3 linked regions of the Saccharomyces cerevisiae S288C genome follow. Changing the gene in region 1 together with any one later gene gives a genetic interaction. Each region holds a gene or a part of one and is shown in the gene's direction. Other genes may lie near its edges.

The links. A genetic interaction does not mean that the proteins touch.
Region 2: mutations in ADH4 (region 1) and RRG9 together harm fitness less than expected from each alone (positive genetic interaction), as found in Saccharomyces cerevisiae (one large-scale study listed by BioGRID).
Region 3: mutations in ADH4 (region 1) and WRS1 together harm fitness more than expected from each alone (negative genetic interaction), as found in Saccharomyces cerevisiae (one large-scale study listed by BioGRID).

What each region holds. Positions count from the first base shown.
Region 1 is NC_001139.9:12,538-17,471, forward strand, and holds ADH4 (alcohol dehydrogenase ADH4), read left to right. Parts: upstream 1-2,621; coding exon 2,622-3,770; downstream 3,771-4,934. Other genes in the region: alpha-1,3-mannosyltransferase MNT2, read right to left, coding at 1-1,620. UniProt on the Saccharomyces cerevisiae protein: Alcohol dehydrogenase specific for ethanol. Acts mainyl as a mitochondrial formaldehyde dehydrogenase and has no effect on ethanol production. Shows drastically reduced activity towards primary alcohols from 4 carbon atoms upward.
Region 2 is NC_001146.8:245,577-248,921, reverse strand, and holds RRG9 (mitochondrial ribosome assembly protein RRG9), read left to right. Parts: upstream 1-1,817; coding exon 1,818-2,462; downstream 2,463-3,345. Other genes in the region: VID27 (Vid27p), read right to left, coding at 1-1,461; PEX17 (Pex17p), read right to left, coding at 2,706-3,305. UniProt on the Saccharomyces cerevisiae protein: Required for respiratory activity and maintenance and expression of the mitochondrial genome.
Region 3 is NC_001147.6:135,644-139,358, reverse strand, and holds WRS1 (tryptophan--tRNA ligase WRS1), read left to right. Parts: upstream 1-1,533; coding exon 1,534-2,832; downstream 2,833-3,715. Other genes in the region: HMI1 (ATP-dependent 3'-5' DNA helicase), read left to right, coding at 1-132; COQ3 (hexaprenyldihydroxybenzoate methyltransferase), read left to right, coding at 314-1,252; YOL097W-A (uncharacterized protein), read right to left, coding at 2,954-3,139; SDD3 (Sdd3p), read left to right, coding at 3,521-3,715.

The sequences.
Region 1 (4,934 bases):
TTTAAATTTGATCAACTTTCCAAACTCACCTTCCTTGAATAATGTGCAATAATTGAACAAAAAACACTCTCCTGAGTTAATCCATCCTGATATACTAGTATCTGGTATTATAATCCCTTCAAGTTTTACTGGTGATGCATAATATTCACGTAATTCATCTGCATTTTGGAACATATCATTTAGTCTCTGTCTATGCTCATAATCGTATTCCCATGAAGTTTTTTTACAAATATTAAGGCCCCCGTTTAGCCATAGCAAGGACCCGTCCCTGTCTGTATGAGATAGTTGCACAGAACAAATCTGGTAAAACTCACCGGTACTCTCTTTTGAAACTACATTGCCCAACTGACCAATGTTTGATGCATCCACAGGATGGAACGTAAAGCGATTGTTCGAAAGTAATTCGCCCAGCCAAAAAAAGTCCTTATCACCATGAAAATATTCTGCAATTGGAGAAAATTGTAAAGCTATTGAAGTAAGCATACTGAAGAGATGCTTTCCTTTATGCAATATTACCAGGCCGCTTTCCAAATGATGTTTATATTTCTTTATAAACATGTTTTCCAGAACCTGTGCAACCACTGGATCCTCTACTTGCTCATGTATCTTGGATTCATCCTCTAAATCAAGCCCAATACACCCATAGACAATTTCCCTTAGAATTTTTAATTCAGAGGATTCAAATAGATCATCTGATATTACCCGATCTTTAAAGAATAGAACTCCAGTCTTTTGAAATTCCTCTAATTCATAAAATTTTTCTATTGAAACAAAGGGCACTGTATCTGAGTCCATTAGAATAGGAATTTCAAAGGATGAGAAGGTCAATGCTAACCACTTGTTGGAATAGGTGGTAAATTTTTTCGAATATTTCGGGTTTAGCAGACTATGTACATTTAAAAACCATAATTCTTGAGCAGGATATTCAGCGGTGTCTAGACTTCTCGCATATTTGATAATAGATTTCATGGAATCTTGACTCAGATCTGCATTATGAACAATCTGTATAGGATAATCATTTTTGATGAACCTCAACACTTTCAATAAGCGTATGGTTTCATTCAACTGCACGTCAGAAGCACTAATAACTATGCCTTTCGAACCACTTTGAGTCACAGTGTGCAACCAATTCTCCCAAAAAGATAGCCCTGTATCGAAATTGATGGGCTTAGAACGAAGGAATTGATGGTTTTTGGGGTCAAATTCCAACATAGACGCATGGTAAACCTCGCCATTCCATCTCGTAGTTGTGTGCCAGAAGGCACTTTCATCAGTTTCTAATTTTTCAAAGTTAATATACGGAAAGAGCTTCTTTTCAATATCCCTCAAACGCTGAATATTATGCCCATCAACCTGCTGCAAGCAATTAAAAAAAATCTTAATCCTCGTAACCAGTTCAATCACATCTTTTGCAGGATTCGGGGTTATTTGATTTACGTCGTAGAAGTCATTCAACCACCCAGGCGTAAGACCTTCATAGTAACTCCAGCAGCCACCATTGCCACTGCTGCTACTTTGAACTGGTTCTACCAAATCTAACGAATTCAACTGAGAGTAATATACTACTAACACAATTCCCAGTAGTACAACTAATATAAACAGTCGATTTTTTCTTCTCATATTCGATAAATACTATTGGGGCTACTTTTGTCCTGTCACTGCGGATTTGCAAACACTCATGCGAATATTTTACTCAATTGAGAGATTTGCTGTCTCCCCCCACTTCGATGGTCCCCACCCCTAAAGTAAAGGAAAGAAGAATTAGCACTGTTTTAGTTCCAGGTACTTCTTTCTTTCTTTACCGGTATTGTGTGGCTCATCAAAACTTCGTCTCGGGAAAATGAAAAATGTAAACAAGAATTTCCGTTTCAAAGAGTTGCCTAAGGCCCACTAATAATGTACTTATTATTTACAATTCGGAGAACGCTGCTGATAGAAATCAATCAAGAAGTCCCTTAGTCTTTGTGTGTTTACGCCATATTGCTTAGTTTCGTAGTGCGTTACAGTTCTATCGTGTGAAAATTTTTTTCTAATGCATCAGCTGTTATGCGCACTACTTGAAAGGTTATCGAGCGTTTGTAAAAAGTAGAAGTACTTAAATGAACCTTCACGGTTAAGCAACCAGTATAATTGAGGCTGCTGATTTGAAATTGCGTTTTGTGTTCAGAAGGATCCCCGGAGGCCTTCAATGAGCTTCCATTTTATTTTCTCCAAGGAGGCCATTTTTTGTAGTGTGATGTTGACATGGTTATAACTGTTAGCAGTGTTTGTGATGATGGCTGTAGTATCACCGCAGTGGATTAGCTATGAAAAAAAAAAAAAAGAACTAGTTTTTAGTTCGCGCATCACGAGGTACGTGTTTAATATGTCAGATGCTTGGGATCACGTATGCCGTTAACTCTACAAAGCAATTGATATTTTGCTGCCTCAAATATCTCACACTACTAGGATATATTCTTTTATCAAACAGGAAAAAAGGGCAGCGTACCAACATGTATAAAAGGGTTATTAGCATTTCTGGTTTATTAAAGACTGGAGTCAAACGTTTTTCTTCTGTCTATTGCAAAACAACCATCAACAACAAGTTTACATTTGCAACAACTAATAGTCAAATAAGAAAAATGTCTTCCGTTACTGGGTTTTACATTCCACCAATCTCTTTCTTTGGTGAAGGTGCTTTAGAAGAAACCGCTGATTACATCAAAAACAAGGATTACAAAAAGGCTTTGATCGTTACTGATCCTGGTATTGCAGCTATTGGTCTCTCCGGTAGAGTCCAAAAGATGTTGGAAGAACGTGACTTAAACGTTGCTATCTATGACAAAACTCAACCAAACCCAAATATTGCCAATGTCACAGCTGGTTTGAAGGTTTTGAAGGAACAAAACTCTGAAATTGTTGTTTCCATTGGTGGTGGTTCTGCTCACGACAATGCTAAGGCCATTGCTTTATTGGCTACTAACGGTGGGGAAATCGGAGACTATGAAGGTGTCAATCAATCTAAGAAGGCTGCTTTACCACTATTTGCCATCAACACTACTGCTGGTACTGCTTCCGAAATGACCAGATTCACTATTATCTCTAATGAAGAAAAGAAAATCAAGATGGCTATCATTGACAACAACGTCACTCCAGCTGTTGCTGTCAACGATCCATCTACCATGTTTGGTTTGCCACCTGCTTTGACTGCTGCTACTGGTCTAGATGCTTTGACTCACTGTATCGAAGCTTATGTTTCCACCGCCTCTAACCCAATCACCGATGCCTGTGCTTTGAAGGGTATTGATTTGATCAATGAAAGCTTAGTCGCTGCATACAAAGACGGTAAAGACAAGAAGGCCAGAACTGACATGTGTTACGCTGAATACTTGGCAGGTATGGCTTTCAACAATGCTTCTCTAGGTTATGTTCATGCCCTTGCTCATCAACTTGGTGGTTTCTACCACTTGCCTCATGGTGTTTGTAACGCTGTCTTGTTGCCTCATGTTCAAGAGGCCAACATGCAATGTCCAAAGGCCAAGAAGAGATTAGGTGAAATTGCTTTGCATTTCGGTGCTTCTCAAGAAGATCCAGAAGAAACCATCAAGGCTTTGCACGTTTTAAACAGAACCATGAACATTCCAAGAAACTTGAAAGAATTAGGTGTTAAAACCGAAGATTTTGAAATTTTGGCTGAACACGCCATGCATGATGCCTGCCATTTGACTAACCCAGTTCAATTCACCAAAGAACAAGTGGTTGCCATTATCAAGAAAGCCTATGAATATTAAAAAAATCGAACGAACTCATAAACGTCAATTATGCGTGTGCCTTATTTATTTAGTTGTGCGTACAGTATAATGCACTTATTTATTTACCAATCAAATGATTTTTTTAACTTTTCACGATCTATATAATTACGTTAATTTCGAGTATATAACAATGAAAATATATATCTACGTTGTTTTAAATTGAAAAAAGAAGAACGGAAGTTCTATTAATGAGCCGAGACCGGTACGTTTGTTGAAAATAGTTTGGACTTAATTACTGACATACTGTTGGCTTTGAAGCATTTAAGACTGAAAAATAGTCATGCAAAAGTCATGCTTTAATATGGTGGGTTTCAGTTGGATGCAAGAAATAAAATGAAATTCGAAGGCCTTTTGCAATTAAACAAGGCATCGTCAACCAGACAATGTCGAAAATTTTGAGTCAATCTAAATCAATCCACCGCCACACTGAATTCTGTCAATGATATTGTCTTCCTTTTTTTGGTTTGATATCTCTAATTTTCAACCTGTTATAAGCAACGTCAATCCGATTACTTTCGTGTGTCATTCACATGCGCATATTTTTTTATTCGTTTTATGATATAGCTGTCTTTATTATAACCTCGAAACACAACGGCAATGTAACCTTACCAGCCGCATTATTACAAGGAGCCCACTTTATTTTCAATTGCTATCGCTACATCGCAAATGCTACAGCACCCCCATCAGACCTTGAAGTATATATATATTTAATAATAAATACATTATTGGAATGGCTAGTAAATTTTGACATAAACATGATTTCCGAACGAATTAAAATACAGTTGATTTAGGAGAAAGTATCAGTACATTGCTAAAAATTTTAAGCAAATGTTAAGTGAAAAAGGCTTATCATTCAGATGAGCTTAAGAATATACTTTTTGCGTTATTCAAGAGCGATGATTATTACTGAACTACTGTGACGATATCAGCAGCATGCCTGATAAATAAATCTGTACATTCGTGGAAAGTAGTATGTACTTTTCAAATATTTCTAAGAGCTAATGATATTTATTTGATATTTATATCGACAAATGAATCTTTTTCATAGAAGCCGTTATGAAGACTCCAAATAGCAATACTCAAAATATACTATAAGATCTCCGACCAGGTACATAATACATGACACAGCACAAATAACCGACC
Region 2 (3,345 bases), on another chromosome or scaffold:
ATCAGTCAAAATTAAATTACGATCTTCCATATACAACATTGGCTTATGAGGATCAATGCTTTTACCACCTAAATTAGAAATATTCTTTATGGCAGCTACAAATTCTAGAGAATCGTCTTCATCATCCGTTTTGAACACACCAATTCTGTTATCTCTTGTAACATATGACCTGTTGTTCCTAAAGGCGACAGTCAATGAACTATTACCTTTGGAAGTCGCACGCCTAGGTTCTTCAAAGGCTTCAGATGAAATGATTCTTTTGGAGTGATCGTTTTCGTCATCCTCATCTTCGCTATCATTTTCACTTTCGCTTGATTCTTTATCTCTTTCCTCATTTGATCTGTCATCTATGTGTAAAATGTCATCAAATTGCTTTTCCAATGGCACGGATGATGAATCTAAAATATAATCTTTCTCCTTTTCAGGAACGTCGGTCCACGTTTCTTTGTTCAAAGTCATCCATAAACATTTAACCCAAGCAAACCTGAATTGAATACACTTATCTAAGTCCTTAAATTTTAACATATAAGACAATGTAATGTTTTGTAGCGTATAGTTGAAAAGAAAGGCATCGGTAGCTAATTCAAAGGTAGGATTGATATTTGGGGCGACCTGAGTCCCAAGACGATTATCTTTACCTTCTATCGCTAGCCAAAATTCGTACTTGCCTGTATCAATAATTGCTACCTTTACCACGGGCTCCTGCAGAATAAATTTTTCTTGAATTGGATCATACATGTATAGGCTAGACATCACTAAACAACAATATTCCCCTTCTGGAACTTTTTTCAATGGAGAAGGAGTTCTTTCCAATATTTCACTTTCCTTCTCGTGCTCAAAAGAGGTGTCTTTAGCATCTTGAAAGTCATCTGAGCTTGAATCTAACTCGTCATCATCATCTTGAACAAAGAGCCTGGTTGATCTATGCTCTATTTCCTTTAAGTCATCTGCTGAGGCAGTGAGAGAGGATTTTTTATTCCTTACTTCGAATTGGCATCGGTAAACAGTTTGGATAAACTGTTCAACATCAGAAAACGACACATCAGCGGCAACAACAAATTGAACCTTTTCATCTTGTTCATCACCTCTTAAGTTCTCCCACACAAGCGCCACGTTTCCTTGTTTATCCCATGTTTTGTGAAACATGATTTTATCCGATATTTCAACGCTCCACTCCTCTTCTTTCTTTTTAGACTGTGTGGATAAAACACTGATGGTGTCGTCTTCAAAATTCTCAGCCTCATCTCCCGTGCCTCCTTCACTATCGTCCTCTACCCTATAAACCGCCAACTCATAATCAAATTTGCCTATTTTACGTACGCTTAAAGTTGCATTGTTGTAAATACATTCTAAAGCAGCTTTAGGGGAATTCTTAGACCTCAAAAGATTAAACTGCCCAGAAGGTATCGTGATGAGCTCTGGCTTGTTACCAGACTCCATAAACTTCTTCAAAATGTTCATCAGTCACTATAACTACTGCAGATATTATTGGACTGGATACGTAAAGAAAGAATGAAGTTTGTTTCTACTAATCAAGTTCGAATGAAGTGCTTGACTACTTTGCTTTCAGTGCTGTCCTTAAGGGACATTACTAAGTAAAAGTGATTAGTAAAAATAACAACATTCCCACAGTCGTCTAAAATGATCATAAAGCTAGTAAATATGAAATGATGGTAGAACTAAAACACCAATCACCAATGGTGTAGAAAGTCTCCAAGGAGAGTCGATCGTATACTGTTCATATCACGGTAAGCTATTTAACAAGGCACTACGTATTCCCTTCGACTTCCTTCTGAATCATTTGGTTAGCACTTGGCATGAACATTCTGCGAATAGCATGTCGTTCTTTTCATTGCCTGCGCTGCGGTCCATTACTCAATGAGAACAGGGGATGGTCATCCAAAAAGATTATTAAATTAGTCAATAAATCGAGTTTGTCCAATAAAGAGTTTACAGAAAAAGTACGAGATGGTACGAAAGACATTCCTGAGTGGAAGAAGCAGAAAATGGCAGTTAGAAAAAAATTGCAAGGCCAGAGGTGGAACCCACCAAAAAAGATATCACAGGAACAAATGGAGGCTCTAAGACTATTGAAATTCAACTTTCCTGAACTGACAGCATCTGATCTTGCAGACCGGTTCAAAATTTCTCCCGAGGCTGTTCGAAGAATTTTGAAGTCCAACTGGAAGCGTACTGATGAGGAAAACAATAACACCTACGAGAGATGGAAAAGAAGAGGAGAACGGATAAAAGAAATGTATCAAAGAAAAGAGGATGCCGATTTTGTATCCAATCAAATTGTTACTAGCAGAAAGATTATACTTGGGTCCAACTCAAATTCACCTGAATTAATAGCAAGGAATGTTCGCACTTTTAAACCTTTCAAGCCTAACAACAGTACACCTGAAAAGAAAAACACCAACAAACTATACATTTTGAAGCATTTGGGCTCGAAACAATAACACTTTTGAGGGATTTATATATTATTACGAAACTTCTTGTAGATAAAGGAACATATATATGTACATTAGAATAGAGAGCATGCAGTAATATCGTTAGTGGAACCGTTTCTGCACTTTCACTTGCAAAAATTGGTATGTGTCTTCTTAGGTACTATGAAAAATAACGGTATTGTTCGCCACTGATCAGACGGATGCGTTACGTGCACTAGAGCGTTTTAAATTCAATGCTATTATTTTTGATTGTTACCTTGGCACTTGGCCATTCACAAACCAACCTTTGATTTCTCGGATTCCCTGTATAATATTTCTTGATTTATTTGAGAAAGCTCGGGACCTATCTGTTAACTCAACCTGGTCAGTCACCATCTTAATTTGAAAGACAAAATCGTCTATACTTTCAGATGGTTGGCCTGAGGATCTGTTAAAATACTGTAATTCTTGTTTCATATTTTGCAGTTGATAAATCATTTCAGCCCAATGGCTATTATCTTCTCGTATTATATTGTCGTCTGAAGTTTGAGTGGACCTCTCCACAAAGTTATTCTGTTCGTTGAACCCCAACGACGATACTGGGGTCATCACCAGTCGTTTTTGCAATTGCGCTATGATTCTTCTCAAACGCAACAAAACAAACAAGGAAAAATCATTTCTCTGCTGGTACTGCTTTTGTAGCGTTGGTTCAACAAACATAGCAATAACAAAATATAGAAATGCATAAATTGATCCACCATTATATAACAAGCCCTTGATGGCATTCACCGTTGGATTAGTTCCCTCTATTTTTTTAATGCCTATGTTGGAAGGCCAGTCAATATTCCTGGGAAAACTGTTAATCGATGTCATGATTTTTAGTCTGCCTTACGTGGTTCTGCTTATCAGAATG
Region 3 (3,715 bases), on another chromosome or scaffold:
CGATCTGTATGTGACGTTAAGGTGACACATGGTTATAATGTGCAGCGATACAATCAGTTACGTAAAAATTTTGGATTTTATAGAGCATATTCTTCACTAAGAGGTTGTAAGAGCGTTTTCAGACGTATATAGAATAGTTTTTTACTTACCTTTCATAATGTATTATCACCCTTTTACATAATACAAGTTTTAGAAGCAGATATTTTTATTTTTTTCATTTCCATTGTTCAAAAAGAGGGATGGTAAAGTATGCTAAAAGGCATACAAAACAATTAAAGGGAAACAGGTACAGCGAAGTCTTATGGGATTCATAATGTTGTTAAGATCTAGATTTTTGAAGGTTATTCATGTGAGGAAACAATTGAGCGCCTGTTCAAGATTTGCAATTCAAACACAAACGAGATGTAAGAGCACAGATGCTTCTGAAGATGAAGTGAAGCATTTCCAGGAGCTAGCCCCTACTTGGTGGGATACAGACGGATCACAAAGAATTCTACACAAAATGAATCTAACTAGGTTAGATTTTGTGCAGAGGACTGTGAGGAACCAGGTTAAAATTCAGAATCCTGAAATATTTGTCCCTGGATTTAATTACAAGGAGTTTCTACCAGAATACGTCTGCGACAATATTCAGCGGGAAATGCAGGAAAGCATAGAGACTAATCTAGATAAGAGGCCAGAAGTGAGCGTCTTGGATGTTGGATGCGGTGGTGGCATTTTGAGTGAATCGCTCGCGAGACTAAAATGGGTGAAGAATGTTCAAGGGATCGATCTGACTCGCGATTGTATCATGGTAGCAAAAGAGCATGCCAAGAAAGACCCCATGCTGGAGGGAAAGATAAATTATGAGTGCAAGGCTCTGGAGGATGTTACTGGACAATTTGATATTATCACCTGTATGGAAATGCTAGAGCACGTGGATATGCCTAGTGAAATTTTAAGGCATTGTTGGTCGAGGTTAAATCCCGAAAAAGGTATACTCTTTTTAAGTACTATAAACAGAGATCTCATCTCATGGTTTACTACAATTTTTATGGGTGAAAACGTCTTGAAGATCGTCCCAAAGGGTACTCATCATTTGAGCAAATACATAAACTCAAAGGAAATCCTTGCCTGGTTCAATGACAACTACAGTGGCCAATTTCGCTTGTTGGATCTCAAGGGGACCATGTACCTCCCATATCAAGGGTGGGTTGAGCACGATTGTTCCGATGTCGGTAATTATTTTATGGCTATTCAGAGACTGAATTGAAATCAAACGAAAAGTAGGTATCTGACTGTAAATATCTTCTTATATAAATATATATATATACACTTTTTCACGTACAGCATGAGTTCAAAAAGCAATGGCATGGTCCTGCGTTTATTAAATGATGTATCCTTTTCAAGACGCCAGTAATTTATTCAATACAGTATCTCTTTTCCGCTTATAATGGAAAAGAGAGAAAAAAGATCAAAACGTTGAAAAATTTTTTTTAGTCATTGAGGTATCAGAAATAAAACTCAATAACAAAAAATAGTCGTAGAACAACGATGAGCAACGACGAAACTGTAGAGAAAGTCACCCAACAAGTGTCGGAACTAAAAAGCACAGATGTTAAAGAGCAAGTAGTTACACCTTGGGATGTGGAAGGTGGGGTTGATGAACAAGGTAGAGCCCAAAATATTGATTACGACAAATTGATCAAACAATTCGGTACTAAGCCGGTCAACGAAGAAACCCTGAAGAGATTCAAGCAAGTGACGGGTCGTGAACCACATCATTTTTTGCGTAAGGGATTGTTTTTCAGTGAGCGTGACTTCACTAAAATATTAGACCTTTACGAACAAGGCAAACCATTTTTCCTATACACTGGTAGAGGTCCTTCGAGCGATTCTATGCACTTGGGTCATATGATCCCTTTTGTCTTCACCAAATGGTTACAGGAAGTGTTTGACGTACCATTAGTCATAGAGTTGACAGATGACGAAAAATTTTTATTCAAACACAAGTTGACCATCAATGACGTTAAGAATTTTGCCCGTGAAAATGCCAAGGATATCATTGCTGTTGGCTTTGATCCAAAGAACACCTTTATCTTTTCTGATTTGCAATACATGGGTGGTGCATTTTACGAAACTGTAGTAAGAGTTTCCAGACAAATTACAGGATCCACTGCAAAGGCTGTTTTCGGGTTTAATGACTCCGACTGTATTGGTAAGTTCCATTTTGCCTCCATTCAAATTGCTACCGCATTCCCAAGCTCATTTCCTAATGTGTTAGGCTTGCCTGATAAGACACCATGTTTGATTCCATGTGCAATTGACCAAGATCCATATTTCAGAGTTTGTAGGGATGTCGCGGATAAATTGAAGTACTCCAAACCTGCTTTGCTTCATTCCAGATTCTTTCCAGCTTTGCAAGGTTCCACGACCAAAATGTCAGCCTCTGATGATACCACTGCCATTTTCATGACCGATACACCAAAGCAAATTCAAAAGAAAATTAACAAGTACGCATTCAGCGGTGGTCAAGTGTCCGCCGACCTACATAGAGAATTAGGTGGTAATCCCGATGTCGATGTTGCATACCAATACTTGTCATTTTTCAAGGATGACGATGTTTTCTTGAAGGAATGCTATGACAAATATAAGTCCGGTGAATTACTATCAGGTGAAATGAAGAAACTGTGTATCGAGACTCTGCAAGAATTCGTTAAGGCGTTCCAGGAACGCAGAGCTCAGGTGGACGAAGAGACCTTGGACAAATTCATGGTCCCACATAAGTTGGTTTGGGGCGAAAAGGAAAGACTTGTCGCACCTAAGCCAAAAACTAAGCAAGAAAAGAAGTAAGTAGTCACGCTTATTCTGACGCTATTATATACAATGATATAGAATCCGAAATTGTAGTTTAACACTAAAAAAATAATGCAATAGAACAATAGTGTTGCGATGTCTCCTGACCTCACTATTTCTATAGATTGGTATGAAAAATTTTTTTTTCAAATATATGGGAAAAATTTTTCACGGCATATAAAAGACTACCATCTTTCTGCATCAGTGTGCCAGACCCATTCTCACACCAAGAAGCGAGGAAGCTAACAGGCCAGTACTTGCAGGTTAGGTTTTCGTGCTCAGATGAGCAGATCATGGACTGCATTGTGCTGTTGTTGCACAGTAAATTTTGTATACCATACTTTATGATGATATTCTTTACGAACTTTTAGACGTTAGACTTCTGAAGGAGATTAGACCCTCCTATGGAAGAGAAACTCGTTAAACTTATCTGAGTAGGTATGTGTATATGCGTCTCTTGTATTATACAAATGTTCTTATTTCTTGTCCTGCATTTTTCCGAGTATTGGTAAATTCATGTAAATTTTTCATCCCATAGATCGTAATTTTGAAGTAGTGGCAAAAGATTTTAACAGAGCGTAAGATATAGTGAGAGAAACTACTCGCTGAAAAGTTGAAAGTGACCCAAAAAACGGCACGAAGACCAATTATACGCACTTTCAACACAGTTCGTCGAATCTTCACAATGGGGTTCAAGAAGCTCGTATCATTCCAACCGGATTATGTCCCACAATACCATATAACTAAATATATCTCGGAACGAACTAAACTGCAACTGGTACATATAAACCACAAAACCTCCCCATTGGTTCACGGTTACTTTGCTGTTCCTACAGAATGTCTTAATGATTCAGGTGCTCCGCATACCTTGGAGCATTTG